Linked DNA regions of Danio rerio. The protein of the gene in region 2 purifies or fractionates together with the protein of the main gene of each other region. This does not show direct contact. Links are inferred from orthologs where the notes say so. Each region holds a gene or a part of one and is shown on either strand. Other genes may lie near its edges.

Evidence for each region. The genes of interacting proteins can lie anywhere in the genome.
Region 1: the proteins of castor1 (region 2) and wdr59 purify together in Homo sapiens (affinity purification with mass spectrometry; 3 studies listed by BioGRID and IntAct, counting the BioPlex papers as one, with this or other methods). This does not show direct contact. The link is inferred for Danio rerio from reciprocal best matches to the Homo sapiens genes CASTOR1 and WDR59.

The regions. Positions count from the first base shown.
Region 1 is NC_133193.1:7,039,729-7,043,246, forward strand, and holds part of wdr59 (GATOR2 complex protein WDR59), read left to right. Parts: intron 1-1,017; coding exon 1,018-1,134; intron 1,135-1,224; coding exon 1,225-1,302; intron 1,303-2,121; coding exon 2,122-2,278; intron 2,279-3,491; coding exon 3,492-3,518. UniProt on the Homo sapiens protein: As a component of the GATOR2 complex, functions as an activator of the amino acid-sensing branch of the mTORC1 signaling pathway. The GATOR2 complex indirectly activates mTORC1 through the inhibition of the GATOR1 subcomplex.
Region 2 is NC_133180.1:12,719,076-12,722,593, reverse strand, and holds part of castor1 (cytosolic arginine sensor for mTORC1 subunit 1), read left to right. Parts: intron 1-2,111; coding exon 2,112-2,222; intron 2,223-3,243; coding exon 3,244-3,326; intron 3,327-3,518. UniProt on the Homo sapiens protein: Functions as an intracellular arginine sensor within the amino acid-sensing branch of the TORC1 signaling pathway. As a homodimer or a heterodimer with CASTOR2, binds and inhibits the GATOR subcomplex GATOR2 and thereby mTORC1.

The sequences.
Region 1 (3,518 bases), on a different chromosome or scaffold from region 2:
ATTTACATGCTGCATTAAAAGATCACACTTTTAGGGTAATGACTTTATAAAACAGGGGTGGCCAAACTCGTCTAATAAGCTTGTTTTATCCTGCCCCTTTTCGCTCAGCCGCATGACAGAATATCACAAGTAAATTAAACAGGGGGCTAATAATTCAGGGCGGCTAATAATTCTGACTTCACAGGGTTCAACGCTAAGGACATTTTCTACTGGCCCGACTGGACCAGCAGTTCAGATTTTTACTGGCCCTGCCAAAATTTTCACTGGCCCCACCAAAATAAATAAATAAAAAATAGCTATTTTTTTAGCCACATATTTTAAATAATGTGTCAAAAATAATGTCGTTGAATCTAGAATTTAAATATTTTTAAAATGTTAAAATATTTAGCAGTAAAATACAGCAGTATGGAAAATGTGCAGGTATTTTATTGCTAAACAAAAAGTGGCGGACTTAAAAGTGATGGAAAATTATGCAAAACATCACTTCATTTTTTTCGATGTGTTGTACCCATGTAAATATCTTTTTCCACAACGTTGGAAACAGACGTTTTCTTTTAGCCGCATAATTTGATGTTGTCGTCTCTTCACTGTTCTGGTTTTTACCAGGTTGTGAAAAAATTAACGTGCTAACAACAACCAATCAGATAAAAGGAACCAAAAAGCAATATGGGGTTCACGACTTTACAGAAAACGTAGCATTCTGAGACTTAAAAGCACAAATTGTTTCTCAGTTCTAAGACTGTATTTGCATACAATTGACAGTAGCAGGCAAATAAAAATTTGATGACAAGGCAGCACTGGCCTGATCGGGCCAGTAACGATTCTCTTTACTGTCCCGAACATCTCTCATGCTGGCCCCGGGCCATCGGGCAGTCCTTATTGTTGAGCCCTGCTTCAACTTTGTATGTCTATAGGTGGGCCCACACAGTTTGCGCTACGCCACTGTTTTTTGTTGGACTTCCCACAAGTTTCAATGGAAATAAAACATTTATTCTATTCTACTGTATTCCATTTCAGAAATCGAACACTGCAGTCGAGTACGTCGCTGCCCACCTGTCAAAGATTAACGGTCTGGACTGGCACCCTGATAATGAGTACATCCTGGCTACTTCAAGTCAGGACAACTCTGTTCGGGTGAGTATAATCATAATTATTGATCATATTCTTAAATAGTTTTAGCTGCAGTTTTGCTGATTCTGTTTTTATACTGATTTATCTCAAAAGTTCTGGGATTACAGACAACCCCGGAAGTACCTTGATATCTTATCCTGTCAGGTGCCTGTGTGGAAGGCCAGATACACGGTAAAGTTTAAATATGCAGTTTAAATATATATTTTTCTTGATATTTTCATTTTAAATACTTTGTTTGTTTCTGTTGTGATGATCTCTATCAGGCAAATGTTTAAAATGATTACGTATTTTTGTTTTAGTCTCAAAAATACAATAAAAACAATATGGAAAAATGGGTGGCACATTGGCTCAGTAGTTAGCAGTCGCCTTACAGCAAAAAGGTCGCTGGTTCGAGTCCTGGCTAGGCCAGTTGGCTTTTCTGTGTGGAGTTTGCATGTTCTCCCCATGTTGGTGTGGGTGCTCTAGTTTCCCCCACAGTCCAAACACGCTCTATAGGTGAATTGAATAAGCTAAATTGACTAGTGTATGAGTGTGTATGGGTGTTTTCCAGTACTGGGTTGCAGCTGGAAGGGCATCCGCTGTGTAGCTTATCCAGTCCTTCCAGCCGCAACCTAGTACTAGGAAACACTTATACACACTCACATTCACACACACACACTATGGTCAAATTAGTTAATCCAATTCACCTTTACCACATATCTTTTGAAATGTGGGGAACACCCGGAGGAAACCAGGGAGAACATGCAAACTCAACACAGAAATGCCAACTGGCCTGGCTGCCACTGGAACAAGCAACCTTCTTGCTGTGAGGTGACAGTGCTAACCACTAAATCACCGTGCTGCTCATTAGTGAATTTTTAAAGTTTATATTTTTATTTGTATTTACGCTGTTAATATAAGAGATGGAAAAATGAAAATTAGTAATTCAAATAATGGAGAATCTGCATGTTGTAAAGTACTCACTGCATCCTCTCCTTTTCTTCTGTCTAGCCTTTCTCAAATGGGCTGGTTACAGTGATGGTTCCTCAGCTTCGGCGTGAGAACAGCCTCCTCCTGTGGAGCACACTGGAGCTGAACAGCCCTGTTCATGCGTTTGTGGGCCATGACGATGTTGTGTATGAGTTTCAGTGGAGGCCGCAGAAAGAAGGTGAGCAGAGCTGGCAGTCGAAGGAAATTAAGGAATGTTATTTACCACAAAATCCCCAGATTGATTTTGTGTTTGAATTGACAATTATTAGTCTGAACCCTTGTCATCAAAACCAAAACTGCCTCTTCTCTCCTCCCACCACATCACATGACAACCTCAAAACGTTATGCATTTATGAAATGCGCTTTACACAAGTGAGTGGGCTTGACAAACCACCAGTAGAAACACTTTTCTCTCTCTAAAAAAACACTAAAAAAAATAAAGAAACTATGAACAACTGATCTGTAAAGTGTGAGTTAATATATTAGTTAAGTGTTAGTTATCAGTTTATGTATGTTATTGGGACGTTATTCTAAAGATGCAACTATTCCTCATTTACTTACAGTTAATAAATAAAGAATAGTTGCAACTTTAGAATAACGCCCTATAACATATATACACTAATAACTGATACTGAACAAGTCTTTAGTAAGTAATTTACTAACAGCTTGTTTATGATCTATTACTTATTAATTAGGTATAGTTATAACATTAAAAAACTGTTACAAAGTCATTTAAAGCTTGTTAACTAACAGCTTGTAAGTTATATATTGGCTATTTATAAGGCACAGTTATAAATAATTAACAAACTATTGACTTATATAACAAGTCATTTATAACTCACTAACTAACAGTTTATTAATGGACTATTAACTAGTTATAACGAAATAGTTATACTAAATTGTTACCGTGAATTTTTGACTAAATTGACTACATCACATCTGTGTGTGAATGTGTATGGGTGTTTCCCAGTACTGGGTTGCAGCTGGAATGGTATCCACTGCGTAAAACATCTGCTGGAATAGTTGGTGGTTCATTCCACTGTGGCAACTCCTAATAAGTAGTGGACTGAGCCGAAGGAAAATTAATAAACCAATATTTTGTGTCTGTGACCATAGAACTGGAGAGTTTTTAATAAATCATGCATACCAACTTTAACTATAATTTTTTTTCTGCTGTCCGTCTTTTGTGCATAAGCTGTATCTGCCTCAAAACAATGATCAATAATTGATGTCCATGTGCTATAATCAATCCTTAATAAAGTTTAGCAATTACTCAATAGTCAATTAATTGCTTTCATCTATAATGGAGATAATTCTGGCAATAAATGCTTCATTTTCACTTTCATAGCAAAAATATAATTGTATTTGTGCACTGTTCATATATATCTTAGGGTCCAAAGACTGCCAGCTGGTCACGT
Region 2 (3,518 bases):
CAGCGCTGTCATTTACTGCCAGCAAGAGGTTTTTTGAATTAAATCACTTTCATACATTGAAAGTGATTGCACAACTTTTCTGCTTTTAAAATTTTGTGATACAGTAGTTCACCCAAAACTTTGAGTTTTTTCAGCATTTGATTGCAAAAGAAGATATTTTGAAGAAAGCTGAAAACTCTTAACTTGTATAGTAGGAAAAACAAACACTATAGAAGTCTCTAGTAACAGGACCAAACTTCTTCAAAATATCTTCTTCAATGGAGAGAGAATAAGGAATAATAAAGGAAAAGGCGTCTGAAAATGTTTTGATCCTGTCCTCTTTTGACTACTTACAGAGGTAGTCTGCATTTGATTGCTTTTGTTGTGTAAAATTTAATTTTATTGAATTCATTTAACCCTCTGGGGTCTGAGGGTGTTTTGGGGCTCTGGAGAAGTTTTGACATGCACTGACATCTGTGTTGTTTTCAGTATCTTAAAAACATATAAATGGCTAAAGTGTGATAACACTGTAAACAGCACAAGTTGGGCTACAATAATACCGAAGCAGCATGTTTGTATGTGTTTGTGTTTTTGAGAAAGAAACGTTTATGCGTGGTTAGTGAAAAACTAAAATTTTGAAGTCACTGAAACAAGGCCACGAAACACACAGAGAACATTTGTGCACATTTCTCATCTCTTTGTGTTTTGTATTTGTGGAGTTTTAGTGCATTTTACCGACGCGTTTCTAAAAGCAGATCACGGAGAGAGAAAAGACAGAATGCGTACACTGTTTGTTTTCCTTATTTTGCAAAAGCAAAGACGTTTGTTGTTGTTGTGAGTGTACACAACAAAAAGTAGACACATAACAGATTCAATTGATGTATTGATCTTATCTGTACGATCAAAACTGAAAGTGTTATTTAAGTTCATTTCAGCAGTTTGACGCCACCACAGGTCAAAACGCACATACGCGGTCTTCGACCCCAGAGGGTTAAATGGTCACAAAAGAGTACCTACTTTCTATGACCTAAGATGAAACACCGAAATTAAAAAGGTATACAAATATATGAAAAACTTTTTATTTTAAATGATAAATGCAGACATATTCAAAGAAACCACAAAGTCAGTTAATGTGTGTGTGTGTGTTGATCAGGGGTGCCCAAACTTTTCTTATGAAGGGCCAAAAACCAAACTTGATTAAGGCCAGTGGGCTGAAGGTAAACATTCAGCAGTTGCCATAGGTAATTTCCTTATTTATTTAATAATATTTAAAAATAGCTAGAAAACATTGCTTTATATTAACTAATGCAGCATATTTTTATTGCATTAAATTTTTAATAAACTTATTACAGTAAAAACTATTACATTTATAACAGAATGGAGTTACGCTTGATTTGCTTACTGATGTCGTCTGCATAATCCATCGAGTGACGTTATTTACATTTTTTAAAATCTGACTTATTTACAACATTTAAGTGAAACGTTTACAATCCGCTTGTTAAGTGTGACGTCACGCGAAGCGGCTTCCGGGTCCAAGCGCTTTATTCAACTGAATGGGGAGACTCATGAAATGGTAATAATAAATGTTTACAAAGTGATTTAATGCTTTCGAAAATCACGATTACAGTATATATGTCCATGCCTAATATCCAATGGCCAGAAAGTAATAATTTTTTTTATATATTGTTAAATTTTTGGTATTTGTGATGCAGCAAGCCCAGAGATTGTTGTGTACACTATGATTTTATATAAAATTAACTTTTAATGTGTGATAGGAATAAAACGTGATCATAAACGAATGATTTCTCCACTCAGATGAATGGCGGCTTGGACCCGGAAACAGTATACATACGTCACCAACACGTCATCACTTAACAAGCGGATACATTCATCAAACAATAAAACAAACAAAAAAAGGTTTCGTCAAATTAAAAATGATGATCTCTTTTAAAGGCATTCACCCAAATCCTTTACATCCTTCTCACTCTCTTGGGATGGCATGGTGGGCCAAATAAAAGGTTACAATAGGCCAACTTTGGCCCACAGGCCCTACTTTGGGCATCTCTGGTTTAGATCATGGTACGTGCAATCTGTTTTCATCTGTCTTTTTTCTTTCTGTTTTTCTTCTGCAGTCCTAAAGAGGGCGCCAGTGTTGACCAAGACATGGAGTGCATCAAGTTCTTCTCTTTCTCTCTGATTGACGGATATGTGTCTTTAGTGATGGACACAGACGCACAGAGACAGTAAGACCTTCACATAGACACAGCCAGGTTGTAAAAACAAGATTTACCACTCAAAGACCCGCCCACTCATATTTCTTGACTGGACAAGAGAAACCAATTGGTCATAAAAAATAATTTGACTAAAAAACATTATTATATGTGTATGGATATATTAAGATTTAATACTTGTATTTGAAAAAGTGTCTTCTGGAGCAATTTTAGAATATGCATGACTGACTAAATTGAAAGTTCTTGTATTGGCTTTTATTAGTTTTGTTGTCATTTGTACTTTTGTAATTTTTTCTATAGTGGATGTTAAAGAAAATCTTCTGTTGTGTAAAATATTTATTAAACATTTATTAACACTGTTGCCAAGAATATAGCCAATGCTGCTGATAAGTAGTTAAAACGCACACACGTACACACACACACACACACACACACACAAAATCAAACAAATGAATGGACAAAAAACAGTATGATCCTCACAGAGCCACCAACAGATTATCAAAGCATTATATGTTTCACTATTCAGTCTGAGAAATATATAATTGTGTGTAGGCATGGCTCGGTTGAAGATTCTGACAGTATGATAACCTTGGATAAAAATATAATGGTTTCACGGTTTGACGGTATTGTGAATACTGCTCTAAAACATATTCTTTTTAAATGTCTGGGTTAAAATTATAAACTTTTTCCCCTTTTGAACACAATATATATATATATTTTTTTTTTGAGAAACACTTAAAATACTTTGGGGCAGTAAACATGTCAGGCTGAATAATGAAAATGAATCATTGACTTCTGCTGTTCTTATTTGTTTCAAAAACACAGCTTTCTTTACACTTTAAAATGGCATCTTTGGATATCTTTTCTGCTGGAGATGTTGTCCTAAAAAATGTAGATAAAAAATCTTACACATACCTTAGAAAAGTTATTAAAAAATTTTTTTGGCGGTTTTAAAAACTTGACTTTTCTTATCCACGGTATACCTTAAAAATGGTTTTTGTCCCATGCCTAATTGTGTGTGTCTGTGTGTCAGATTCCCAGCTGATCTTCTGTTCACCAGCTCCTCTGGTGAGCTCTGGAGAATGGTGAGAATAGGAGGGCAGCCTCTTGGATTCGGTGAGATACATTGTTTTTTTCTTTTTATTTATTTATTCATTTATTTCTGTTCTACATTCAAAGGCAACATATGTCATCATTTAAAAATAGTTTCACTTAAAGGGATAGCTTACCCAAAAATGAAATTGTCGTTTACTTTACACTCACTCTGGTGGTTGTACATTTTCATGATTTTGTCTGCTTTTGTCAAAC